Mus musculus: one gene and its partners. The protein of the gene in region 6 purifies or fractionates together with the protein of the main gene of each other region. This does not show direct contact. Links are inferred from orthologs where the notes say so. Each region holds a gene or a part of one and is shown on either strand. Other genes may lie near its edges. The genes, in order: U2surp, Rbm17, Sf3b4, Snrpd1, Phf5a, Snrpa1 and Srrm2.

Region 1 (4,002 bases), on a different chromosome or scaffold from region 6:
CCAGGAGATATTAAAAATGAAAAGTATAGAACAATTACATAAAATAAAAGGGACTTTGGAAGGGTGCCCCCCCATCAAGTCCCCTTAGCAAGAACTACATACACTGTGTACATCATGAAGTTAATTTTAAAGCTAAAAATAACTAGTGGTTTATGTATTTTGTAATTAAGAAACACTAATGGGGCCATGAGCATGACTCAGAGAATGCAGACATAGGCCACACAGCCTGAAGGCCTGAATTTGATCCTTAGAACCTAGCGTTGTCCTCTGTCACATCTACACTGCGGCATGAGGGTGCACATGTGTGCACACAGACATGCACACTTTTGTAAAAGATAGAGACTTCATCATGGTCAATGGTAAAAACCCTATATCTTGTACAAATATTCTTTCAATGTGTAGAAATGACTAATAAACACCTCTACCCAAATTGATGGAAATGTAACTACCATAGCAAGAGCATGAAACAGAAGTCTCTACTTACTTGATATACAGCACAGAATACAAGCCTGGAAATTCCAAATATTGTACTAAGGCCAAAATGATCTTATAATCTAATAATGTCTAGACTTACATTTGAAATTAAAAAAAAACAACAACAATTTGAGTGGTCATTATGATGGCCAACACTTAATAATCCAAATCAGTGCTTTCTAGTTCCTTAAAAAAAAGGGAGCTGGAAGCGGTTGGCACATGCCTGTAATCCCAACTCTGGGAAATACAAGGAAGGAGCAGCAGGATGCTGAAGGTTAAAGTTCAAGCCAGCCTGGGCTACGGGAGACCCAGCTCAAAAACCTAGTACGCAGGATGGGTGGATGATCTATATAGACTTAGAAACTGAAGTAAGATTTACTAACATTTACAGTAACTCCATCTTTCTATCAGCCCTATAAAAGAATTTTTTTCCTGTAATAAGATAAGAAAACCTGAGGCTGAAGAGATTAGGTATCGTATTTGTTTTCAAAACCTATAACCTCGCCATTCCATTACAACACTTTCCATTACATGGAAAAATCCTGGCAAAACTCTTGAGTATAAATATTCCCTTTTCAGACACGAGTAAGGAACCCTTTGGTGACATCTAAAGGACTATAAACTGACAAGTGTGAATGAAAAAAAAAAAATCCAACAAGCTACTTAATACTTAAAAACTACACAGAGTCCTGAGAAGTATTCTCTTAGAAAAAAGTCTGAACACATACTTTGAAAAGCTTTCAATCTACCCAGGCCTCATGCAGGAAATACTAAATGCTTTGAGAAGAATATCAAAACAAATTGTAACTATGGATGTGGGTACCTGTCCTGGTCACGGGTCTGAAAGGAGGAGTGGCATCATGAGGTACCCCTTCATTCACCTGCTCCCCCAGAAAGGGAAGGAGGGGAAAAACTACTGGAGAAAAAGGAAGCTGACTTACAGTAAAGGTCTGGTGTAAGGACAACCAGAACTGGGCCCTCCCATAGTTCTGAAGAATGTCTAGTAAGACCTTTACTACTTGCTAAGTAAATCTGGGGCAATCATTCAGCAAAATGGCAAAAATTTAAAAATTAACAAATAAATAAACGTCAGCCTTATTAGAAAGAGAGCAAGTTTGGTTTGTTTCTCAAACCAAACAGCAAATGCAAACAGATAATCATACACTTTACGTTCCGAGACTCTTTAAATGTTATCCAACTCCTTATCTCTGCATCTCAAGCCTCGCCACTGGTTTATGGCAGTACTTAGGCATCTTTAATACCGAGATGGGGACGAGAATCTCCAAGCAAAATAATCCAAAATAGATAAGTAAATAAATGGGATTAAACACGCTGGCCAAAATGGCAACTAACACCAATTGTTAACCCAACCTTACTAACGCTTAATTACAGTTCAACGGTTTCCCAAGCAATGCACAGGGCTCCCTATAAACTCACATGTAAGGGCATTTGGGCAATTTCCACGTCTACCGTAGTTTCCCTTTCCAATGGAAACCCCACATACTGCTTGAGACCCTGAGTCTGCGGCCCTCAAGAGGGATGTTGTTCACTTTTCACTTCCCGGGAAGTGGGAGGAAAATCACATGGGAAGTGTGGCTCTAACCCTGAGGCTCAGAGAGCGGCTCCCTCCGCACGTCCCAACCCCAGGCCCTCCACTGGCGGGTCTCTCGCACACCCTTGCAACCCGTCCAGCCTAATTTCCTGGACGGCAAGGAGAGAAACCGTGTAAGGCCAGGAACGAGTAAGAGCCAAAGTAAAGAAGGGAGGACGAGGGGGGAAGAAACAGGCATCTAAGACCGGGAACCTTCCCGCCTCTCCCAGCCTCTAGCCCGCAGCCTCCGAGAGCAGCAAGGGGTGATACAAGGACGCCGGACCACCTCGGAACCACTGCTCTGACCCACAAAGCCGAACGAGGTGACCAGCCCCGCTCGCCACCAGGCACGCTGGTGTGGGGCTGAATCCCAGTCGGGACGGACGCGCGCTCGGGCCTCTCAACCTGCGCACCTTGGTGCAGCGGTGCCAGGCCCACTGTGGCCAACAGGCCTCAGCCCCTCGCCCCAGGAAACCCTCGAAGGCCAGAGGCTTCTGTAGGCCCTCGACCACGGTGAGAGACCCCCCTGACTGACGGAGATCTCTAAGAAACTACCTTTGAACTGGCCTTCTGAGATCCGCCTGGCGTTTTGTCGGCCATCTTGAGCTTTGCTCCTCCTTCAGCGGAGGCAGCAGCGCGGGTGAGTCGAGCACCGAGAGAACAGATAGCAGCCGAGCGCGCCAGAAAGGCTGCCAGGCCGAATAGCCGAACGCCGAGACGGAGACCTCCGCGGCGCCGGGGCCGCGTGACTTCCGCGTCGAGGCGCTTTTACGCGCCCCGCCCACCCCGCTCGCCTTCCGGTGAATTGCGGCGCCCAGTCACGTCACGCGCCTGCGGAATTTAGGGACTCTCCTTGACCCGACTTTCAAGGCCAACTGATAATTCAGTCATTTTCCTCCCAGAGCCAACCGGCGTTAGATGCGAGCGGGTTCTACTTCCTGAGGGGGGAAGGAAGCTGCTCTTTTAAAGCAACTGCAGTAGCCACGTGAGCCGAGCGTCTCACCTCAGCTGATGAGGCAGTTCGTCGAGACACTTTGCCGCACGATCCCCCAGGGGGCACAGGCCTTGGTGGCAAGGCAAATTTGCAATCTGCTCACGTTAAAAAATGGTGAGCAGTGACTTCAGAGTTGAGAAAAAACAGGGAAATAGGATAAAAACTGTTTAGGACGTCGGAGCATGGTACCTGCATAGACTGGGCATGGAGTTGGGGAGGGATGGATCGTAATATAGACGCTGTTCTAAAACGAGCATGTTTATTGTTACTGTGCAGTACAGGCACGCCCTAGCAACTGTGGGGAGGTTAAAGGACAGTTTGAAGGAGTTGGTGGGATTTGGGGATCGAAATGAGGTTGGCAGGTTTGCTCAGCAAGTGCCTTTTTCCCTCTGAGACTTCTGGCTACCCGCACCTATTTCTTTGAAGCATAGTCGCAAAAGTTGTGTAGCAGAAGATAGCCTTGAACTGCTGATTTTCCCGCCTCAGGTCCTGGGAATTAGTCTTGGGCCACCATGTCTAAGCTTTTTGTTAATTGAAGGGAAGCGGGGAATGAGTAAGTTTGGTTTGATTTGGGTTTTTCCAGTTTGTCGGCATTCCACCCCTGGCTGTCCCTGTGCTGTAGACCAGGCTGACCTCAAACTCGGAGATCTGTCTCCCAAGTGCTGGGAGAAAACGTGTGTGCCATCACCTAGATTTCAGTTACAGATAAGGGTCAGACCTAGAGAAGAGGCTCAGAATTGGAGATGTGTGACAGGACCTGAGAATGGAAATAAATTCATTTGGGCTGGAGGGCACAGAACCGTATTATACTGTACTTTCATGCATAGCAACCGTTACTTTCTGATCGTTGGCTTCCTGTTACTACGGTTTCTATCTCTGGTACCTGGCTTATTTATACCTCATCGCCTACCACCAGATTTTATTGATATTTATTTATTTATTT
Region 2 (3,500 bases), on a different chromosome or scaffold from region 6:
AAGCGCCAGAGAGAAGAGCGGCAGAGGCAGCGGGAGCTGGAAAGACAGAAGGAAATAGAGGAAAGAGAAAAGTAAGTTTCCTTTTGATTTGGGAGCAAATGTCTTCTGTCAATGTGTGTTACAGTGAGTGAATTTTATTGTTGTCTCTAGGCCTGAGGTTATGGTTTCAGTCAACAAGGGTTTACCCACATTGATGGCACACTTGAGAAAATTTATTTATAGACTCAGAAAACCTAAAGTATAGACTTTGCATGAATTAGAAAAATAACTTTGAAAACCCACTGGTATCCAGGTGTGGTGGTGCATGCCTGTAATCCCACCCATGTAGTGTTCAAGGCCAGCCCTGTTTCAGAATCAAAACAGCAGACTCCATTGTTGCCATTTTTCCCTGGTTTGTGACTGCTAGAACCACATTTAGAGTATTTCAATGCTATTCCTTTACTGTATTTTGGTTTTGGTTTTTTTGACACAAGGCTTCTCTGTGTAGCTCTGGCTGTCCTGGAAATCACTCTGTAGACCTGCCTCGCCTCAAACTCAAGAACTCTACCTTCCTCTGTCTCCCGGGTGCTGGGGTTAAAGGCTTGGGCCACTATACCTGGCTTCCTTTCCTACTTTTGAGCCAGGTGAAATTACATGTATTTTTTTTTAATTTACTTATAATGTACTTATATAATACTTATAATTTAAAATTATAGGTAATGGGATTATTTCTTAATTTTATTATTTAATTTAATTTATTCTCTCATATATTAAATCCTGACTGTAGTTTTTTTCTCCCTCTCCCCTCCCAGCTCCTGAAATCATATGCCATATTATCCAAAGTTAGATGTCAAAATTTTTTCCCTATGAATTATGCCCATGTATCCATTAAAGTTGTTCATTTTTTTTCTTTTAAATTTTTCTATTGAATCCATTCCCAGAATACATATAAGAATTAACTATTTAAGCCAGGAGTGGTGGCGCACGCCTTTAATCCCAGCACTCGGGAGGCAAAGGCAGGCAGATTTCTGAGTTCGAGGCCAGCCTAGTCTACAAAGTGAGTTCCAGAGCAGCCAGGGCTACACAGAGAAACCCTGTCTCGAAACCCTCCCCCCTCAAAAAAAAAAAAAGAATTAATTATATTCAGTGAACATTTTTCTTTCTTTCTCTTTGGGTTTTTTGTTTGTTTCTTCGTCTTGTTTTGCCAAGAGGAAGTCATAATGACAGTTAAGCTTTATTTGGGCTCTGTCCTAATGTATCAGGGATGGCCATTTGTTACTTTGTCATTACAGGAGGCGTAAAGACAGACACGAAGCCAGTGGGTTTTCAAGACGACCAGACCCTGATTCTGATGAGGATGAAGATTATGAGCGAGAGCGGAGGAAAAGAAGTAAGGCGTGAGCGTGGACAAGCTCGCCCTAGACTCAGCACTGTCCCGGCTTTGCTTTCCCTTTCCCGTGAACATGGTGTATTTCACATTGGTTTGAGTAATTGGGGGGCTGGGCCAGTGCCCTAGATTCTCACCAGTCCACATTCCGTAGCAGCTTTGCTTTATGCTGTTTAATATCTTCTCTACTGTGAACTTTACTAACATGGCGAAACACCTGCTTTGAAACAGCATTAGGTCTACTTCTGCGCTTCTCCTTAATTGAGGCCTGGTCATCTTTTGCCTCTTCTCCAACCCAGAGCATTTCTGGCCAGCCCTGGATGTAGGAGGAGACCCCACATCCGGGGCACATTTGCTGATGACTCCGCTGCATCCGAGCATCCACGGAGCCTCTTTCATGTTCACCTGCTGCCTAAGCAGGGCGATCAGAGTCCGCGGCACTGGGGCTGTGAACCATCCCGTCTTACTATGCTAAATCTATAGCTTGGGTTCTCCTCAGTGGGCACAGTGGTGTGTGCCTGTAGTCCTGGCACTTTAATAGAAACAGGAGCACAAGCTCAAGGCCGGTCTGCATGAACAAAACAGAAAATAACGTTTTAAATGTCTGTTACAAATATGTCTTAAGAAGTGAAATGTCAGCCTCCTTTCTTTAGGGTTATATTTCTAGTTAATGTGCACCACCTGCTCTGTTCATCACCACCCGCTCTGTTCATCATCACCCGCTCTGTTCATCATAGTGCATCTCTACTGGCCTTCATTTCTTTTGTGAAACCTTTTAGGCTGATTGATACAGCATGGTTTTATAACCAATTTCAATTGGTCTTACTATTCCACTGATTAAAGTCACAATACATCTGGGTGAGACGCTTGACACAGGGTCTCCTTCTGGTGCTGGAAGTGACAGCTCTCGGTGACCTCCCAGATTGCTAATGCTAGAGGTATGGCCAGGACACTGTGTATTTTGGGATTCATGTAATGAAGAGTTCCTTACAGTCTGTTCATGATATCCTAGTTGTCATGTCTTTCAGTTTGTGTTCATGTTATCTGACCAGCAGACATGGGCAGGAATGGTGGCACTGCCTAACGTGTTCCTAAGAGCTAGGACTCATACTCCCCAGAGGCGTCCCTGATCCAGCTGTGCTTGCTGGGGCATTGTCCCTGATCCAGCTGTGCTTGCTGGGGCATTGTCCCTGTTCCAGCTGTGCTTGCTGGGGCATTGTCCCTGATCCAGCTGTGCTTGCTGGGGCATTGTCCCTGTTCCAGCTGTGCTTGCTGGGGCATTGTCCCTGATCCAGCTGTGCTTGCTGGGGCATTGTCCCTGATCCAGCTGTGCTTGCTGGGGCATTGTCCCTGATCCAGCTGTGCTTGCTGGGGCATTGTCCCTGATCCAGCTGTGCTTGCTGGGGCATTGTCCCTGATCCAGCTGTGCTTGCTGGGGCATTGTCCCTGATCCAGCTGTGCTTGCTGGGGCATTGTCCCTGTTCCAGCTGTGCTTGCTGGGGCATTGTCCCTGTTCCAGCTGTGCTTGCTGGGGCATTGTCCCTGTTCCAGCTGTGCTTGCTGGGGCATTGTCCCTGATCCAGCTGTGCTTGCTGGGGCATTGTCCCTGATCCAGCTGTGCTTGCTGGGGCATTGTCCCTGATCCAGCTGTGCTTGCTGGGGCATTGTCCCTGATCCAGCTGTGCTTGCTGGGGCATTGGCTTTGGTATCACAGGGAACTGGATTTATTCCACTTCTTCAGATTCATCTCTGTTTGCTCAATTGGAAACAGGAAGCTGTAATTACTTACTACACAAGTGCCAAATTGGTATGCTAATTTGGCTTATTCCTTAAAATATACTGCTAATCACAATCCTTGTGTCTTCACAGGTATGGGAGGAGCTGCCATCGCCCCACCGACGTCTCTTGTAGAGAAAGACAAAGAGTGTATGTGCCTCGCTTTCTTTTATTACCTATTCTCACACAGGTATTTGTGGACAGTGAAGATCCTAAGCTTGACTCTCTTGTGTCCTGAGTTTAGAGCAGAATAGCCTGGTTTTCATCCCTGAAGTCACAGTGGCCTTGCTTCCTGCTATACCTGGGATGCTTTGACAGGGTTTCTCTGTATAGCTCTGGCTGTCCTGGAGCTCACTTT
Region 3 (4,073 bases), on a different chromosome or scaffold from region 6:
ACAAAAGAAGAAGAAAATGTCTGTGAATACCCTGGAAAAGTTACTCAGTGAAAGTAGATGAGTCCCTGAGTCAGTGACAGGAAGTGAGTGCAGTCTGAGCACTGGCTTGTGACCAATGACAAAAACATAAGCTAGACTTGCTCTGCAAAGTGGAGGACAGAACAGACAAAGCCCCAGAGTTGTAAACTGGGCTCCTACAAGTGAGAACTACTGAAGATGGTGTCAGAAAGAGGAAAGTTAAGTGTGGGTTGAGCAGTGGCCTTTTCTAGCCTGCCAAGAACCTAAGACCAGAGACCAATGGTAAATTAGCACCTTCACATTTAACACTACAGAGAAACAAAGAAAAGAGAAACAAGCAAAAAATCTACACAAACATAAAAAAAGGAGCCGATCCAGGTTGCTATGGTTGACATTAGAGAAATCTAGAAACACGCACGCCTTTAGTCCCAGCACTTGGGAGGCAGAGGCAAGAGGATCTCTGAGTTTGACACTGCCAGCTACACAGAGAACCCGTTTCTCAAAAAGCCAAAAGCAGAAATGTCTTCTAGATTTGGCAACCTTGGAAGCAGAGGAGAGGTTGAGAGTTTTGCCCAGTACAAGCTATCCTTTAGGAAATACAAGAACTGGAGATAAAACAGGAGCACCAACACGTACAAAGTACTGTCTGTTTCTGAAGAAAAGGAGGACTCTGGACTATTTTCATCCAAGACTACCAGGACAGACAGTAAGAAAGCCCCTCTCACAAGCTCAGCTCCTTCCCAGCACAGAGCCCTTACCTGGATGGGGCATCCCACCTGGTGGGAACGGGTGAGGATGTGAGTGTCCGTGACCGGGATGTCCAGCCCCTGGAGTCCCTGCTGCTGGGGGGCCATGTCCTCCAGCCCCAGGTGGCATAGGTGGTGGGGGCATGGCTGGGGGAATCCCAGGAGGGAGGGCCCCAGGAGGTGGCACTGGAGGTGGAAAAGAGCCAGGAGGCGGCATGCCTGTGTAAGAAATGGAAGACAGTTAATGTCTTGCAGAGCTCCAGCCTCCCCCCTGCAGGCTTCCCTTCAGCTTCACTCCATCTGCCAACTTCATCCGCCAACTTCATCCCTTCCACCAGCACGCCTCACTCCTGTCTCACTGCCCAACAACTTAGCAGCTTACTCTACCAGGGCTGCTTCTGCCTCCTGAGCCTCCCTCCCAAGAGCCTCACTGGCACAGTCTGAACTCCAAGCTGTACCTGGTGGAGGAAGCCCAGAACCCAGGGATGAAACCACGGGATTGGGGGCAGAGGGCGGAGGGGGTGCATCGGCAAACAGCTGGTGAGGGCGGTCAGCCTGGGACAGCGGGTTCTGGGCTGCCAGGAGTCTTTCAGCTGCTGAGCCATGGCGTTCACCCTTAGAGTCCTTCTTGAAGGCATAAGACACAGTGATAGGACGGTTACACAGGTACTGCCCGTTCATGGCCTCAATTGCTGCATCCGAAGCATCGAAGGAGGCAAAATTAATGAAGGCGTAACCCTTGGAGTTGCCTGTGTCAGGGTCCCGCATGATCTTGGGGGTCTGTAGGATGACTCCAAAGGCGCTGAAAGTATCGTAAAGCAGCTTTTCATCAATTTCTGGGTCCAGATTTCCAATGAAAATGTTGGCTCCCACATCCAGGTTTTTGTTGTGAGCTGAGGCCTTGTTCACCCGTATTGGCTTTCCATAGAGTTTGATCATGTTCATAATCTTAATGGCATAGTCGGCATCTTCCTCGCTCAGGAATTCAACAAAGCCATAGCCTGGGGAATCAATGAAAAAAACAAAACAAAACAAAAAACAAACAAACAAAAAAAACCCATCATTCAGGGGAAGAGACTCAAAATGAAACATTAACTCCCCAGCCTTCAAACACAAAGAACATAATAGATAATAGCTGGGCGACTGCACGTGCACGTGCTTTTAATGCCACCACTTCGTAGCAGAGGCAGGTGGAGCTCAAAGATCGTGACCAGCCTGGTCTACAGAGCAAGATCTAGGACAGCCAGGACTACACAGAGAATGGTTGAGAATGGTTCCAGAAACTAGAGCTAAGAGAAAATATTCCAGAAACTGGGAATTGAAGCTGAAGGAGAAAGCAATCTTTAGGTTGCTCATTCCAAAGGCGCTGTGCCTAGCGGCTGAGCCTCTTCGGGGCCGGTTAACCCTCTCCAGGGCTGATTCCTGCCCCGTACCCTACTCACCCTGGTGCTGGCCAGTGACTCTGTCCTTGGGCATGTGGGTGTTGACCACTGGCCCTGCCTGGAGAAAGAGCTCCCACAGCAGCGGCTCACTCACTTTCTCGTCCAGACCGCCCACGTACACCGTGGCATCTAAAGGGAAGAAGCAGGCGATGAGGAGTCGGCAGTGAAAAAGAAGACAAAAACCAAAAACCGTCGCCTAAAGCCCTGAAATTCCCTCTGCCACCATCATCTAGAAAATCTGCTACGTCTAATTTGGCATTCTTGCTGGTCCGGTACTCCCGGGAGGCTTTTGTCTTCTTGGTGGAGGGAGCTGATCTAGAAGCATCGCTTCTCACAGGCCTCGGCCTGCACCCGGCCTCGCGGCCAGCCAGGTGCCCAGAGGTCGGTGTCCCACCGGGGGGGATCTCGTCTACCACCCCAGGGGGAACGCTTCCGGCACTAATCTTCCCTCCACTTCCCTGCTCCTATCTTGGGCTCTTCTCTCCCAATTACCCTGATTCCGTTCGGAGATCGGTCCGGCAGCCATGGCGAAGGGGCTCCCGCCGTCTCTAAGCAGCAGCACCGCCCCCTGACCTCAGTTACAACTTCCACTTCCGGGCCAAGGCTCACGTTGGGCGGGGCCGGCGCCGGGGGGGGGGGGAGGAGCCGGAAGCGATCGCGGCCATCTTAGGGGTCGGAGTCTTGTCTTTCGGAAGGGAAAGGCGCTCTAGGGCTGCTGCTGTAGTCGGGGCGGAACGGATGTGCTCAGCCCGTCTCGACACAGTTAACTAAAGCCCCGGATGCTTCCAGACTGTTAGAGGCTCACACGGCTCCCCAAACGCACATTCAAGTGCAAAACCAGGCTTTGTACGTTCTGTGACGCAGAGTTGTGTCCTAAGTGCAGGGCCAGGACTGCCTTCTGGAGCGACCTATTATTTAGTGAGGTCCACGACGCTCGTGCAGACTCGCCCTCGGCCTAGACTTGAGCCTGAGGTATTTTGTTTTCCCCTAAGTGTCAAATCTCCGCTTATCTTGGGAAATCTGGGACACGAAACCGGGTTGGGTTGCGGGCTGGTATCGAAGCTTTAAGGAGCAGACATGGATCTCTTGAGTTAAAGGCCAGCCAGGTCTACAGAACGAGTTCCAGGACAGCCATGGCCACACAGAAAACCTGTCTCAAAAAACAGAGTTCCAGCTGGCCTAATAGACACATAGAGACCATGTCTCAAAAAAGGTGTGCGGACCCCTTCCCCCATATTTTATGTGTATTTCTTCCAGGCCACGCCTGACTTGGATCCTTTATTTCCTTACAATAATTTGGGTGTTTTTCTCAGTTCACACCCTCCCCTCCACCCCCACGGCTTTGCTGAGATCTTCATTCAACACAAGAAAATACCAGCAATGTGTAGAAATACTGTGCTTTAATGAACTCCTTAAATAGAAACGCTGCTATGAAAATATACAGTGGGAGGAGACGGTTTCTCCCTTATTCACCTCGTTCCCACAGAAGACTAAGAAAAGATTTCAAAGTAGTGTAGAGAGGTTGCGAATGAGGTCTCTAGGACATCATTGTTGGGACTGATGAAAAGGGTCTCTCATGTCACAGTTTTGACGGCCATCCAAAAGGTACAGAATTGCCTGGGAAAAGGGGCAATCACATTCTGAACTGGTCTTGTTTCTTAGTTTTCAAATCACAAGAAATGAAAATAGCCCCAGAAATCAAACAAATCGGGAGACCTTTAGGTTGGTAGCGCCACCATCTGCTACAGAAACGGGCCTTCTAAGTGAACTCTGCAGACTGGAATGCCAAAGCTGAGGCGTCAAGGTCAGACAGGAAGATGAGCAGAGACCCCTGCCCTGCCTCTGAGAACGACGCTAACAAACAGTT
Region 4 (3,500 bases), on a different chromosome or scaffold from region 6:
AACTAGAGAAAGGAAAAACAAAGCAGGTGAACTCCTTTTCAACAGCACATACCTGCCACCAAGAGCTTATCCCGAGCATTTTCCCACCTACACCTCTTCAATTAGCCGCTAACTAGAGTAAAAAAGCTCTAACTCAGCTTCTCTCAAATATGAGCACCACTACCATCATGTAAAAAGCAGGGAGACAAATTTACACCGTGTCAGATTTCTGCTTATTTAATAGGAGCCAAGCACGTTAACCAAATGGGAGCTTGAAAACTTGTTTGGCTTCTAACATGTCAGCCTTGAACACACAGCGGTATCTCTAGCTGGTCATCATGAGGACAAAGAAAGGAAAGGCAAGAAAGCAGAGCGCCTGCTTGATGCAGTCAGACTGAGGTGTAACACCCCACCCATGGTCAGGATCAGACCCAGGACATCATGCTGTGATTGCCACTGGGTGATGATATCCCCCACACCCTGGTAACGCCATACATTTTTTAGCCCTGGCTTCCTGGCTTTATAGACCAGGCTGGCTTCAAACTTACAGAAATCCACCTGTCTCTGTCTCTCAAGTGCTGGGATTAAAGGTGTGCATATAGTAAAGGAAAAATAGCTTTCTAAAGAAACTAGAAAGAGAGGACTGGAGGGACTCTTCTCCACAGCAGCACCAGAACTCTAGGTAGCGCATGTCCTAAGACAAATGTTCTGAGCCACAAAAACACCCTTGTTCACAAATGTATTTTGAACAGCGAGCTAAGACTTAAATACACTATACATAAAACACTTTCACACGTACCAGCTTCTCTTTTCTTAGACTTCACCTTAGGTTCAACATCCACAAGTAGTGTATCTAGAGGTAAGCTGTCTGGTAGAATAAAATACCGAATGTTATTGCCTCGAATACTCAATGTTTCCAACTGTACAGGTTCTCTGTTCTTCAGGGTCATTTTCACAGCTTTAAGGTGTGTGTTCATGCTGACATCTACACCTAAAGGGGGGTGGGGAGGGAAGCAGAACAATTACCAGCATGATAAAGAAGGCAATCAATATATTGCACCAAGAGTTGAAATCATACTGTAAAGAATTTTTTTCTGCTATGTTATAGGTCAAGTTCCTGTGACAATATATGCACAACGGGGAAAAATGTCAAAATAAATCAGCAACAAAACCTCTGTACAAAGCTGAGTGCACTTACAGAATTGAATGCACTGGTGGTGTGGTTAAGTGACTCCTGTAATCTCAGCATTCAAGAGGCTGAGGCACAAGGAGTGCATGTGTTCAAGGAAAGCTGGGACAACAGAGAAAGAGCCTATTTGCTAGACAAAGGAAATGAGCATAGCAAGCTATGAAGGAGCCCTGAGTCTACTACCTTCAGGACTGAATTCTTGTCCCAGGATTAGATAGTGTTTGTGATAAAATCTCCCATTATCCCCATAACTTCTTAACCAACATTCTATCAGGCCATAGGCCTTTATTCTTAAAGACCTATGGTATTTTTCCCTATCATTAGGAACTCTTCCCCCACTTTCTTATGTGCCCCAAGCTGACCTCAGACTCTCAAGTGCTTGCTCTACAGGTACTCACCGCCACACCCAGTTTAACATGTCTATTTATTTACTTAAAATGATTTTTAGGGGCTAGAGACATGGCTCAATGGTAAGTGTGCAGGACTCTTACAGAGAACCAAGTTTGGTTCCCAGTACTCACATCTGGAGGGCCCTAACTAATTGCCTGTAACTCCAGCTCCAGAGAGACCCAGTACCTCTGGCCTCCAAAGGCACCTGTACTCACATACATACAGAGTTAAAAACAGAATCTTATCAAAATTAATTTGTATGAGCATGGCTGTGTGGGAAGGCAGCTACCTATACGCTATGGTGCATGTCTAGAGATCAGGACAACTCTTAGGAATCAGCTCTCTTTCCTCTGTGTAGATCCTGAGGCATGAACTCAGTTGTCAGGCTTGGCATCAGATGCCTTTACCCACAGGGGTGAGCTGGCACACCCTCTCACCTTGTTTTCTCAGACAGAATGTCTCAGAGAACTGGAATTTCAGAACAGGAAGTACCCATCCTTTGGGGGACCTGAACTCAGGTTCTCAAGCTTGCACAGTAAGCACTTTGCCAACTAGGTCCTTTGTCTGGGTCCTTATGTCTTTCTAAATGTGAAGGTTTATATTTTTTTGTGGTGCCATGGACTGAATCCAGGACCTCAAGCATGCTAGGTAACTGTACAATCACCTTATAACCCAGCCTTTAACTGAGCTTGTTTATATATTTGTTTTTGTTCTGTTAGACAGGCTGTCACTATGCAGCCCAGAGTTGCCTCAAACTAAGGATTCTGCTCTAGCCTTCTAAGTGTTGGCATTACAAGCACGAGCCACCATGCCAGGCTAACTTTACTGTTTTTCTCTCCAAAAATTCACTATTACAAATCCTTTCTTTGTTAGGCAAGGGTGGAACATGCCTTTAATTCTAGCAGAGGCAGGCCAATCTTAGTGAGTTCAAGGTCAGCCTGTTCCACAGACCAAGTTCCAGGACAGTCAGCTATACTGAAAAAAAATCTGTCTCAAAACAAAACAAAACCCAACAACAAATGCTTTCATCTTCTTCTCCAAAGAAGGAAGTTCTCTTAGTTCCTAGACAGCCTTACTACATTCCCTCTCCTCCATATGCTCATATATGTGTGTGTGTGTGTGTATGTGTGTACATTCATATGAGATACAGAAACTTGTGTTGGGTTTTGTTTTGTTTTTGGATTACAATTTTCATCATTAGATTTTGATAGGGGAGGGGTGGGTAGGTGGGCAGCAAACATGCCACTCTGGGGTTTGGGAACGTAGCTCAGCTGGTAGACTACTTCCTTAGCATACATGAAGTACTGGCTTCAATCCCCATTGCTAAATAAAGAGGTGTGGTGGTGCACATCTGAAATACCAACAGCCAGGAGCTAGAGGAACAAAACCAGAAGAAGGCCATCTTCAAATATACACAGTTAGTTTGAAGCCAGGATACATAAATCCTGCATCTAAAACAGGACGCTGAGGAGGAGGAGGAGATCTTTCCCAATGCTTTTCTACAGGAACAGGCCAAATCCTACTCAAGGAACTTTAACAAGGGCAGCAACAGTACATCCTTAGATATGGAAATTTGACATAACTTCTAGAAGAGCCACAAAATGCCATCCCATTTTCTCCTGGCTTACTAAAACACTGGACCTACCTATTAAAAACTTACACATCTACAAGGTCAGTATTTTAGAGAATAGGAACACATGTTAAGATACTATTTTTCAGCACTTGGGAGGCAGAGGCAGGTGGATTTCTGAGTTCCAGGCCAGCCTGGTCTACAGAGTGAGTTCCAGGACAGCCAGGGCTACACAAAGAAACCCTGTCTCGGGGGAAAAAAAAAAAATACTATTTTTCCCTTTGATAACCACTTTTTAAAAAAAAAGTCTTAGGAGACAAACAGGAGAGGATAATGAAGGATGAACAATGATAAAAAAACGTGTGCACAATA
Region 5 (4,062 bases), on a different chromosome or scaffold from region 6:
GCAAGTAATCCTATTATCTAAGAGGCTGGCTGAGGCAGGAGGACTGCTTTGAGTTTCAGGCTACCCTGGACTACATAATGAGCACTAGACCAGCCAGGGCCAACATAGCAAGGCTACCTCAGTAGCTGCCACATCCTACATCCCTGCCCAGAGAACCACTATGTGGGTACAAATCTGTAACCTCTGCACTCAGGAAGCTGAAGCAGGAGGACCTTTGGTTCCAGGCCATTTTGAGACACACTGGCACCTATGTCTGTGAGAAAAAGAGGAAGACAGATACAGGCAGAGCCACTGAGTGTCTTCTACACAGCACCGACGTACTCATTAGCACACAAACAGAGGATCTTACATGTGGCTAAGAATAAAAATGAACGCCTTTAATCCCAGCACTCGGGAGGCAGAGGCAGGCGGATTTCTGAGTTCGAGGCCAGCCTGGTCTACACAGAGAAACTCTGTCTCAAAAAAACCAAAACCAAAACAACAACAAAACAAAACAAAACAAAACAAACAAAAAAAGGAATAAAAATGAGCTGCCCTGGCTAACTTTATGTCAGCCTGACACAAACTAGGGTCATTTTAAAAGATGAAAGCTCAATTGAGAAAGGCCCACTAGTTCGACCAGTGGTGCACTTTCTTGATTAATGGCAGACATGGGAGAGCCCAGCCCAGTGTGGGTAGCACTACTCATGGGCTGGTGGAACTGGAGGCAGTAAGAAAGCAGGCTGAGCAAACTGGAGGGGAAAGAGCAGTGATCGATCCTCCGTGGCTCCCGCATCGACAAACTGTTACCTGGAGGTGTGGAAGAAAACCTTTTCTTTCTTTAAAGCTGCTTTTAATCTTGTTGTATCATTGAGAAGAAACCTAACTAAGACAGCAGGTAAACACACTTGACAAGCCTAACATTTGCACTCAACCGCCAGGACCAGAGTCTACAGGGAGAACTGCCTTCAGCAGGTTGTCCACACACCCATTCGCAGGAGACAGCAAGGTACATGGAGAAGTTCTCCTAACTGCTGATACCAATGAAGACTTGCTTCTCTTCCATTCTGCCCTGATACAGAGTAACTGCTCTTTATTAGACCACACCCAGTTTGGCTCACAGGCTTGAAGAAATTACCTAGATAACTAGCTGAACACTGCAATCTCCACAGCCCAGATCAGAAGAGGTGGCCATGGATGGCAAAATGGTTCAAAGTAAAAGGAAGAGAAGAGCGGGTAGGAAGCTCAGCCTACACTCACATCCTTCTCCTGAATGGTGCACTCTTTACAGTAGTAGGCATCGGAGACTCCGGGGCCGCCACAGATTACACACCGGCCCTGGTAAGATCCATAGTTACACTCATCACATATGCGGACCAGGGTGCAGGGACGCACGTAGGAATCACAGATCACACACTTGCCGTCACCTGTAGAGAGAGGAGAACTGAGTTATAGCCAATAGCGATTACTCCCCTAAGATCTCTCCTCTGCCCTATGCGGGAAATCACTAGTCTCCTTCTGACAGTGACCTTAGGACCTTCTTCTACCTTGACAGCATAAGCCTTATCCTGTACCCGTCTCAGTTTAGTAGTTCATGGAAAGAGTTTGTATTAGTGTCTGGGAGCTTTTAAGTCTATGTAGTTACTGTCAACAAATTGACAAATGTCATTGGGCTGGGAAGGTCCCCACTACTCTTGACAAATCTTACTGTCCAAAAGTAGACATTTTTTTTCAAAACCTAAATATGAAGTATTAAAAATTGCATGCTTAAGTGGGAGGATGGTGGGGCAGTCTTTGGTGGCAGCCAGGTATTTAGTATCCTCTGCAGGCTGGTTTATCTATTTAAGACTTCTTTACTAGCCAGGCAGTGTTGGCATACGTCTTTAGTCCCAGCACTTGGGAAGAAGAGACAGGCGGATTTCTGAGTTCCAGCCTGGTCTACAGAGTGAGTTCCTGGACAGCCAGGGCTATACAGAGAAACCCTGTCTTAAAACACCCCCCCCCCCAAAAAAAGACTTCTTTGCTGTTCCACTGGAATTGACGACTCTTCAAAGAGTAAAGGTGTCAAGGCCTGAGAGGGCGTGTTCGGCTTACATTTTTCACACAGTCTTCCGATAGCTGCAAGGTCAAAGATAGTAAAACATCGTTAAAATTAAGGTTGTGAGGTAGCAAGCAAAGTTTTTCGTCAAACTGAGTATAGAGGATGGCGAAGGTAGCAATGATTACAGTCAACCGTACAGGATCGTGGTCACATTCTCCTTTCCTCCCTCTCCACTGTCCCCCACCCCCTACTTTTTTGTGATAGAATCCCACTGTGTAGCTTGAGTTAGCTTTTAAGCTCTAGCCAGGCTCGAACTCGCAGCAATCTTCCAGCCTTCTGCCTCCCAGGTGCTGGGATTACAGACAAGAGTTCCCGGCCCACGACCCTAAATTTTGCTTTACACCAAAGGCCATGTCAAAAATAAAAAAAATGTCTGGAACCCCCCAAAATTCAAAGTATTCTAGACCGGCTTCTCCAGACCTGGCACAGAGGATCCCGCCAGCCTTAGACTCCCGGATGCGCGCTGCTGCCCTCTTCTAAGATGCCACAAGCCGGTGAGCGCTGCTAGAATACCCAGGCACCGTAAGGCGCGAAACGTGGACACGGCAAACCAGAGCCCTAAAGAGGAGGCTGAAGTCCCTAGTCCCCCACTTTCTAATCCCATCCCACTCAACCAAAAGGGAGCACGTCCCCAACTCACCCACACCAGCCTGCTTGCGGCAGAAAATCAAATCTGGATGATGTTTAGCCATAACTCTTTTTCCAAGCCGGCGGCCGGAAGCTTAGGGAACTTCCGCCCGACCTTTAACCTACGGCGTGCTTACTTCCGTTCCTCCGTGATTGGCCATTAAGCTGTCCGTCAGCCTTTAGCCTCGGGGGGTGGGGGGGGGCACCAAAACCGGCTAGATCTCGCGAGAGTTTCCTCGCTAGGTCCTTGCAGGTGCACCAAAGGTTTTTGAATAAAATTCTCTTTACTTCCAGATTTGAACTCATAAACTGAAGTTTGTTCTTGGGTAAAAATTCTACATATGTTGCATTCTGTGTTGGGGATTGACGCCAGGGCTTCTTGCATGCTTCCGCCAAGTATGTTGATTTGGGGATATTCTCTTTCCTGGATGACCTTGAACTCCTGCCTCCCCTCCAGCTTCCACACCCAAGGGCAAAGGTGACAAGGTTGCGCCGAACGCCGAGTTGGCAGTTTCCCCGCATCTTTGCTTTCCACGCCGGGTTTCCGTCATGTAAGCCCCGCCCACTGTGCTATCTGCACTCTTGGCTGCGGGAGGAGGCCCCACCCTCGCGGTTGACTCGTCTCTCTGTAAGCCCCGCCCCCTTCGATGCTTTTTTAAGGGCGCCATTTGTCACGTCACTTTCATGCGACCTCATCTTTGTCAGTGCACAAAATGGCGCCTTACAGCCTCCTGGTCACCCGGCTGCAGGTAAGCGAGCCCAGAGACGTGGGTTTACGGGGGCGGGGAGCCTCCTGCCTTGCCCGCGGCTGTAGGCGAGGCCAGGCGAGGCGGGCTCGATTCGCGGCTGACGTTCCGTGCACCTGTCGCGGTTGCAGGCCCAGCGCCCTTGTGGGTTCCTGCGTTGTCCTAGGTCAAGGCGTCCCTGGCACAGGCTGTTCGCAGTTCCCATCCCCGCCCGCCGGCAAGCTTGGGTTTAAGCAGCGGCAGCCTGGTCCAGGGTGGAGGCACTCCTTTTTTTCTGAGGGTGGAATCCATGCTCCCCCAGGGTGGTTTTCTGTTCCTCAAGGTGATGACAAGGTGATTGGGGGGCGCGGTGGTTGTGGGTTCCTCTAAAGCCGGGTGCTTGAAGCCTTCACTTCCCACCAGTAGCAGAGACTCGTCGCCTCATTTATCCGTGGTTGCCGGGCATGGAGTTTGCAGAAGCTATATCCACTACTACCCTTTGAGGAGACTCGGGGTCATAGACACAAGAAGGACTATTCTGGGCCCCACCATAATAAATAGTCACGATAAGAGTGCTTTCTCACCTTTGCAGCAGATGTCAAGGCTGTTTACTAATGTTACAGATGTTTT
Region 6 (4,238 bases):
ATCCTAGCACTCAGAAGGCAAAGGGAGGCAGATCTCTGAGTTTGAGGCCAGCCTGGTCTACAGAGTGAGTTCCAGGACAGCCAGGGCTCACAGAGAAACCCCACTCATACAAACAAATATGATCTTAATTTCACAGAATTATATTGTAGAAACCAACTACAAAAACCAAAACCAGCATAGTGGATGAGGTATAGGTACTCAGTGAAAAGTAACTTTATTTCATAAAAAGATTTTTACTGTGACAGGGTCTCACTATGTAGCCCTGGCTGGAATTTGCTGTCAACAAGGCTGTCCTTGAACTCAGAGATCAGCCTGCCTCAGACTCCAGAGTGTTAGGATTAAAGGCAGATACCACTACACATGGCCTTTATAAATCTTTTTAATTATGATGCTATTGATGACTACTCTAAAATCTGATTTGTTGACATAGCACAATGCTTCAAATTCAAAGTTTAATGTCAGTTACGAATATTAAAGATTTCTGAAGAGTAGCAAGTAAGGTCAGGCCAATGCCCAAGTTAATCTCCAACCTCTTAGGAAAAGGGCTCTATTCATTTCTCCCTTTAAGACACATGGGCAGGCTGGAGTGGTGGCTCAGCAACTTAGAGCCCTGGCTGATCTTCCAGAGGACCCAGATTCTATTCCTACAGCTGGAGCAGCTCAGGACTATCTGTAAACCTAGCTCCAGAGAAGCCAAGGCCCTCCTCTGGCCTCCAGAGGCACTAGGAGGGTGTGTGGTACCTGCAAGCAAAAAACTAATATACATTAAAACAAAACAAAACAACAACCAAAACCCCATTATCTTCAGGGTACATTAGAACACTTACTTAAGGGAAGAAAGTATTCTCACTAGCAGTCACTCACCAAATTCTGTTGTTGTTCACTAATAATGTTTTCAGTCTTCTCAACAAAGGGAAACCGTCCAGTTTCCGGATCTCATTGTCAGAAAAATCAATAGCATCAAACTGGTCTAAGGTGGCACCCAGATTCTCAATAACCGGAATTTTATATCCTGTAGAGGGAAAACATACATACAACAAATATTAATATAAATGAAAAGTCCTGAAAATCGCAGGAGTATGTGATGGAATTTGACTCAGCGCTCCCATTCGGGAAGTATTAACCAGGCACTAGCACCATGCCGTGCACTGAACAAAAATAAGGTAAATGACGAAAGGGTTAAGTGGAGGCCTTAGTGCTACAAAGCTTGAAGTAAAACTGAAGAGGCTGAAGGCAAGAGGAAGAACAGATGGGCATATTTACTAGTATTGGTGCCCATGGTTTATTAAGAACGTCTATGAGGTATTCACATTCGTCACTGAGCTAGGTACTATAAGGAAGGACACAACCCAGCTGTGAAGGAGTGCAATAAAAGATATGGTAGCAGAATAAGCATTCTCCAGACTGCACGGTTTTCAGAGAGACAGCAGACATCAAAACTGTGCCAAGACAGTGAAAGGACCCAGATGCTCCTGAACCGGACTTTTCTCCAAGAAAGTTAATTTCATTCAACAAACACAAAGAACACTAGGATTTCCCATAGGCAGGAAGAAACTTTCAAAAATGGCAGTGCACAGCGCCCCCGAGACTTTGATTGCCTCTGGTCACAGTCTTATAATCTTAACCCCTTCCAAAGCCATCTCCTGAATAGTTAACGATTACCTCTCAGTTCTATGTTTTAAAAATCAAGTGCTACTTCTGTCAGAACTGAACAGGTGAGTTCCGCCACCCCACACACAGAAGTGACCATTATGCCACGGTCAAACAGCTCAATCTTGAAAACACCAAATTATCCGGGGCTGCGGGTCTGGCTCAGTAGCGCGAGTGCTTTCCTGACAGACATGAAACCCTGGGCTCATCCAAAGCACCATATAAACGTGGTGCAGGCATTTAAACCCAGCTCCCAGGAAGTGGAGGCAAGAGGGTCCGAAGTTCGAGATAAACCTTAACTATATAACGGTTTGAAGTCAGCTCGGAATACACGAGACGTTGTCTCAAAAACAAATGAACAAAACCAAACCGGAATTATTGGGGCAATTAAGGTAACTCTGGTACATATCCACCCTACCCTCAGGTGCCACATTAACGCTTTTGCTAAAAAACAAACAAACAAACAAACAAACAAACAAACAAAAAACACCAGCCAGCAGCCGGCCTGTCCGTAGCGTTTTCTATTTTCCTAGTCCTCCAACAGTTAAAGCTGCTCGATGAGCGGGGCAATGCCTAGTGAGTACGGTCCGGGGAAGGAATCGAGGCGCCGTGTTTGCTAGCCGGAACGCCGGTAACAAACAGCCCCAAAGGGCCCTGCGGGACGGTGGATCGGAGGCGCCCAGCCCGGGTGGAGGCCCACGGGCCAGGCTCCAGCCTCTGCGCACGCGGCGGGGCTGGTTTCCCGCAGCCACGCGCCGGGGCCGGAACACAGCCCGCGCTCCGTCTAACTCACCCCGGAGGTCCAGTTCACGGTCCCGTACGGCATTTGTGTACTGCGCCGCCTGCTCGATCAGCTCCGCCGTCAGCTTCACCATCCTGTCGCAGCCCGCGGACCCTCACCTCCGACACCAGCCTGCGCCTCCCGCCAGTGCCGTGTCCCACAGTGCACCGCGCCTCGCCGCCAGACAGCACCAATCGTATCCCCGCGCAGCTCGACCGCCAGGCTAAAGCAATCGAAGACGTAGCCCCCGTGTCTTTGCTTCTGGGTTCTGGGCTTGAGCGTGCCTGGGAGTGTGGGGAGCCCAGATTCCAGTTTTTTTAATCCAAAAGATAAGAACACGCGAGGGATGCTCTGTCTCACGTCAGTGAACCTCAAGGGAGGGGTAGTTGGGACTACTCTCCCTTCTCCACCCAACAAGGGGCGGAGACTGTGAAGTCTCCTGAAAGTCAAGTTCCTAAATGTCTAACTTGGGCTTCCGCAGGTAAGGGGCAGGACCCGTAGGCTGGATTGCCTTAAAACAGAACCCTTCTGACCTGGTACAGTCACCTTAAAGCTTGAGGGTGAACTTGTAGCCTGTAGACATTTAGGTGTTCATACCAAAGCGCTGGTCAGGTGGCTTAGAGGTTAAGAGCACTTGCAACTTTTGTAACGGACTTGAGTTGGCATTCCAATATCCGTCTGGACACCTGACAACTGCTTGTAACTTCAGCCTCAGGGGATTTGCCGTCCATTTCTAGCCTCCTCAGACACCGGCAACCGCAAACACACACACACACACACAAATAAAATAAACCATAAGTGATATTCATATTGACTAGCTGTGATGGAGAATGCCTTTAATCCTAGCAGTTTGGAGACAGAAGGAGGTGGATCTCGGAGATAGAGGCCATCCTCGCCTACAGAGCCAGTTCCAGAACAACCAGGGATACACAGAGAAACTCTATCTCAAGCAAACAAACAACACCAAAAAAATTCATACGAAGTGCAGGGGAATACACATATCAGAAATTGCCATGTGATGAGTGCCCCACAGTGAATACAATATACCTGCAGAGCCTTGGCCTCTGTCTCCAAAGGCTTAAATGCACAAAATCATGTGCATATTTTTTTAAATCATAGCTTACTAATTAATGTACATGCCCACCTGTGTATACGTGATGACCCCTTCAGCCCTAGGCCATCAACTCCAACTGAGGCTGCACCTTCACTAGTGACCATCCCTGGCCTCTCACAGTGCCAAGCCTTAAATGCACGAAATCATATGCGTATTTTTTTTAAATCATAGCTTACTAATTAATGTACATGCCCACCTGTGTATAGGTGCAGGGGAGGCTTCAGCCTAAAATTCCCTGGAGCTGGCCGTTGTGATCCTTTGGACATGTGTGCTAGAAGTCAACCCCTGGTCCTCAGCATGAGCAGAAAACACTCTTAAAAATACTTTTAGAAATTATTTGTTATATCTCTGTGGTTTTGGGCACATGAGTGCAGATACCCACAAAGGCCAGAGGTGCCAGATACTCTGAAGTCGGGGTTACACGTGGTTGCTGGGATCTGAACTCTGGTCCTCTGAAAGAGCTGTACACACTCTCTTACCTGCTGAGTCATGGAATGACTGACCTGAGAAGGAACTTGAACAGCTCACTCTCCTGCCTCCATCTTCATGTGCTAGGATTATTGGAGTGAGTTTATGTAGTGGTGACCCCTTCAGCCCTGGGCCATCAACTCCAACTGAGGCTACACCTTCACCAGTGACCATCCCTGGCCTCTCACAGTGCCAAGCCTCAGCTGCTGTTCGTAATCCCTTTGT
Region 7 (3,500 bases), on a different chromosome or scaffold from region 6:
TGCTAGATTTCACTCGAGGAGAAGACCCAGAGCAGCTTTGTCTTGATGGGGTCCTTGATTTCACCTCACCATCAGGTGATGATTCAGAATGGCTCTGTCTCTGTGGTGTTGCAGTGCATTCATCAGCCTGCATGTTTGTTACAGACCCTGGTCTTGGTGGTGTTCCAGATTTTACTTTAGGCTGAGGAGAATTTGAACGACTCTGTCTTGGTGGTGTTTTTGACTTTTGTTTAGGTGGTGAAGAACCAGAACGACTTCGCCTGGTTGGTGTCTGTGACTTTTGTTTAGGACATGGAGAGGAACCTGAAAGGCTTCGCCTCAAAGATTTTGCTTTGGATCGTGGTGAAGAAAGAGACCTGCTCCGTCTTGAGGAAACGTGAGATTTTTTCATTTCTGGGCTTGAGTTGGATCTGCTTCTCCTCTGAGATGTTCTAGATTTGTTCTTCCTCTCTGAGGATGAGCCAGATCGTCCTCTTCTTTGTGGTGTTCTAGAGTGAGATCTTCCACGTCTCACAAGACTTCTACTTCGAGATCGTCGTCGTGCTGGTGTTCTGGATCGTGACCTCCCTCTCCTGGCTGGCGTTCTAGACCGAGATCGAGCGCTTCTTCTGGCTGGCGTTCTAGACCGGGACCTCCCTCTCCTGGCTGGTGTTCTAGATCTTGACCTGCCACTTCTCCTGGCTGGTGTTCTGGACCTAGACCTACCACTTCTCCTAGCTTGGGATCTACTCCGAGACCTCCTTCGAACTGGTGATCGTGTCCTAGACCTGCGGCGAGCGGGTGTTCTTGATCTGGACCTGCCCCTGCGAGCTGGTGTTCTAGACCGAGACCTACGCCTGGCAGGTGTTCTGGATCGTGATCTTCGCCTGGCAGGTGTTCTGGACCGAGACCTACCCCTTCTAGCTGGTGTTCTAGATCGGGATCTGCCCCTAGTAGCTGGAGATCTAGAATGTGATCTGCCTCGCCTTGCTGACCTAGACCTGCCTCTTCTCTGGGTATTTCTGCTCCTGGACCAACCTGGCCTCTGAGGAGACCTTGAACGGCCACGCCTCTGGGGACTTCTAGATTTTCCCCACCTCTGTGCAGATCTTGACCTTCTCCACTGAGGGGACCGGGACCTGGAGTGACCTCTCTTGGTGGGGGTTCTAGATCGAGACCGTCCCCTCTTAGTGGCAGGACTACGAGACCTCCCTGCTCTATGAGATGGGGTATGAGAATGAGATTTATCCCGCTTTGCTCTGCCATGCGAGCGATTCTTAGATGTGGGTGAAGAAGAAATCTCTCGACGGGACCCAGGAGCTGGTGTGGGTTTAAGACTTTCAGGAGAAGAGCTGGCATGCCGAGAACCTTTGGTAGGTTGAGGGGATGGTGGGCAACTTTCTGAGGAAGTAGACTGGGGAGGTTTCTCAGGAGACTTAGGTGGTGAACAGCCCCGGGTTGGGGAAGCCTCAGATGAGGGGTTAACTGGCTCCTGACTGGACGGGATTGCTGCAAGGGGTCGTGGGGAGTCGACATGTTGCTCAACAAGGAGCGGAGTAGGGGCAGGTAGTTCTGGCCCTGTGCTGCTCCTTTCCGGAGAGGGGCTAGGTCGAACTGCAGATTTCTAAGAGTGAAAAGAGAAGTAGGAATAGTAAAAAAAACACCAAAACCTCATTATCCTATAAGATACGAAGAGTTTCTAATAAAATTTTACACTATATACTTCTTATACCAATTGACCCTTTCCCTACCCATAGTTATACTCAGTAACAAGACAATATGCAATGCTTAGTTGGGAGCCAGTAAGATAGCTTAATGGGCCCATGAGGTGGCAAAGAGAAAACCTACTCTTCAAAATTGTTCTATGAACTGCACATGTGCATGTATCACATGCACACACACAAAATAAATGCATTTTTAACAATGAGAAAATAAAGTAGCAAGGGAAAAACCTGACCATATAAACAATCTCTAACCTCAAGTAGTAATTCAGAGAAACAAGAAAATGTAAACAATGCATTACCAACAAAATACCACCTGCCCTGTGGTACACCTTATAGACAGACAGCCCTGTCTCCATTTTGCATACTGGGGTTACACATAGACTATCACTAGCAACCAATTACTCACCTACTAAGTCATTTTCCTTTTTTTTTATCTTACCTCTTAATTTTTTTTTTGCTTTGTACATTGTTCTCTTAAACTTACTCAATATCTTTTGATGAGTGTTTTAAACTCATCAAGCAAGTCATCTCTATTGAATGTTTTTTTCTTTTCAAGGGAAAGTGTCTGACGTTGTGTATGGGTTGCAAATGAACACTACAACACCACCCAAAAAAGGTATAATTAAACAAAAAGAGAAAGTTTGGGTGACAATAACTTTCACCTGAATATGGACTGACTTAAAATATCACAAATGGGCACAAGGTTTTAAAGTGTATAATGTGTTAAATTTTATCAAGAGGGGCCTGGCATGGCCATATATGCCTTTAATCCCAGTACTTCAGAGACAGAGGCAGGTGGAGCTCTGTGAGTTTAAGATTAGCCTGAACTATGTATTAAGTTGCATGACAGCCAGGGCCTTATGTAAGGAGACCCTGTCTCAAAAACAAACATACTGACCAACAGTCAATGAGATGGCACTTGCAACATAAGCCTGGTAACCAGAGTTCAATCCACAGAACACATATATAGGTAGTTTTGTCCTTTGACCTCCAAACACATGTAACACATTTGCCTCCCCCTCATACATACACACAAAAATTAATTCACCATGGTCTTACAGGAACAGGCCAAACCATAAAAACAGCTTAATTACAGAAAACACCACAAACACCATAGCAAGCAGCAAAGTTTTCTTGTAACTTATCTTTAAAATGAGACACAATACGGGAAATATTAAGTTACATTAATTACTGAAACCAGTAGAAACAATCAGCCACAGAACTAGAATAGAGAATATAAAACAGGAACTACTAAAAAGATAATTCTTTCATGCTTTCAGATTGGTGGCATCAAATCAAAGGATTGAAAAATGTAAGAACTCATGACAAGCATACAATAAAAAGGATATAGATACTTTAAGTAGTAAAGTTAAAGGTAATTTTTAGAAAACTTTTTGTTGGGGGGTGGGTATGGGGGACCTTTGGGATAGCACTGAAAATGTAAACGAGGAAAATACCTAATTTAAAAAAAAAGAAATCAAAAAAAAAAAAAAAGAAAACTTTTTGTTGGGCAGAAGCAAGATGACAAAAGAAAACATCATCCTTGGTCATAATTCGATGTACATGTGCCACTTCTATGGCACTAAGGCACTTAACCACCACCTTCAGAAGTTGACCTGTGGCAAATGTGGCTATTGTGGCAAGAGCAAGAGTATTATTGGAGTCCCAAGACTAAAAGAGACAAAGCACTACTGCGTCTGGGTGGATGAGGAGCCTAAAATTGTTTATCCCACATTCAGACATGGATTCCTTGAAGGAACAACATCTCAACCCAAGAGGGCAGTTTTAGCTGCTGTA

What was found.
Region 1: the proteins of Snrpa1 (region 6) and U2surp purify together in Homo sapiens (affinity purification with mass spectrometry; 5 studies listed by BioGRID and IntAct, with this or other methods). This does not show direct contact. The link is inferred for Mus musculus from reciprocal best matches to the Homo sapiens genes SNRPA1 and U2SURP.
Region 2: the proteins of Snrpa1 (region 6) and Rbm17 purify together in Homo sapiens (affinity purification with mass spectrometry; 5 studies listed by BioGRID and IntAct, with this or other methods). This does not show direct contact. The link is inferred for Mus musculus from reciprocal best matches to the Homo sapiens genes SNRPA1 and RBM17.
Region 3: the proteins of Snrpa1 (region 6) and Sf3b4 purify together in Homo sapiens (affinity purification with mass spectrometry; 3 studies listed by BioGRID and IntAct, counting the BioPlex papers as one, with this or other methods). This does not show direct contact. The link is inferred for Mus musculus from reciprocal best matches to the Homo sapiens genes SNRPA1 and SF3B4.
Region 4: the proteins of Snrpa1 (region 6) and Snrpd1 purify together in Homo sapiens (affinity purification with mass spectrometry; 4 studies listed by BioGRID and IntAct, counting the BioPlex papers as one, with this or other methods). This does not show direct contact. The link is inferred for Mus musculus from reciprocal best matches to the Homo sapiens genes SNRPA1 and SNRPD1.
Region 5: the proteins of Snrpa1 (region 6) and Phf5a purify together in Homo sapiens (affinity purification with mass spectrometry; 4 studies listed by BioGRID and IntAct, with this or other methods). This does not show direct contact. The link is inferred for Mus musculus from reciprocal best matches to the Homo sapiens genes SNRPA1 and PHF5A.
Region 7: the proteins of Snrpa1 (region 6) and Srrm2 fractionate together in Homo sapiens (co-fractionation; 3 studies listed by BioGRID, with this or other methods). This does not show direct contact. The link is inferred for Mus musculus from reciprocal best matches to the Homo sapiens genes SNRPA1 and SRRM2.

What each region holds. Positions count from the first base shown.
Region 1 is NC_000075.6:95,509,197-95,513,198, forward strand, and holds the start of U2surp (U2 snRNP-associated SURP motif-containing protein), read right to left. Parts: upstream 2,801-4,002; 5' UTR 2,666-2,800; coding exon 2,621-2,665; intron 1-2,620.
Region 2 is NC_000068.7:11,593,200-11,596,699, reverse strand, and holds part of Rbm17 (splicing factor 45), read left to right. Parts: coding exon 1-71; intron 72-1,271; coding exon 1,272-1,369; intron 1,370-3,235; coding exon 3,236-3,292; intron 3,293-3,500. UniProt on the Homo sapiens protein: Splice factor that binds to the single-stranded 3'AG at the exon/intron border and promotes its utilization in the second catalytic step. Involved in the regulation of alternative splicing and the utilization of cryptic splice sites.
Region 3 is NC_000069.6:96,171,233-96,175,305, reverse strand, and holds the start of Sf3b4 (splicing factor 3B subunit 4), read right to left. Parts: upstream 2,801-4,073; 5' UTR 2,733-2,800; coding exon 2,699-2,732; intron 2,336-2,698; coding exon 2,207-2,335; intron 1,766-2,206; coding exon 1,223-1,765; intron 984-1,222; coding exon 777-983; intron 1-776. UniProt on the Homo sapiens protein: Component of the 17S U2 SnRNP complex of the spliceosome, a large ribonucleoprotein complex that removes introns from transcribed pre-mRNAs.
Region 4 is NC_000084.6:10,624,296-10,627,795, reverse strand, and holds part of Snrpd1 (small nuclear ribonucleoprotein Sm D1), read right to left. Parts: intron 971-3,500; coding exon 779-970; intron 3-778; coding exon 1-2. UniProt on the Homo sapiens protein: Plays a role in pre-mRNA splicing as a core component of the spliceosomal U1, U2, U4 and U5 small nuclear ribonucleoproteins (snRNPs), the building blocks of the spliceosome.
Region 5 is NC_000081.6:81,869,093-81,873,154, forward strand, and holds the start of Phf5a (PHD finger-like domain-containing protein 5A), read right to left. Parts: upstream 2,801-4,062; 5' UTR 2,773-2,800; coding exon 2,721-2,772; intron 2,098-2,720; coding exon 2,074-2,097; intron 1,407-2,073; coding exon 1,240-1,406; intron 1-1,239. Other genes in the region: Aco2 (aconitate hydratase, mitochondrial precursor), read left to right, coding at 3,421-3,456.
Region 6 is NC_000073.6:66,058,898-66,063,135, reverse strand, and holds the start of Snrpa1 (U2 small nuclear ribonucleoprotein A'), read right to left. Parts: upstream 2,801-4,238; 5' UTR 2,526-2,800; coding exon 2,444-2,525; intron 1,013-2,443; coding exon 865-1,012; intron 1-864. UniProt on the Homo sapiens protein: Involved in pre-mRNA splicing as component of the spliceosome. Associated with sn-RNP U2, where it contributes to the binding of stem loop IV of U2 snRNA.
Region 7 is NC_000083.6:23,813,225-23,816,724, reverse strand, and holds part of Srrm2 (serine/arginine repetitive matrix protein 2), read right to left. Parts: intron 1,604-3,500; coding exon 1-1,603. UniProt on the Homo sapiens protein: Required for pre-mRNA splicing as component of the spliceosome. As a component of the minor spliceosome, involved in the splicing of U12-type introns in pre-mRNAs.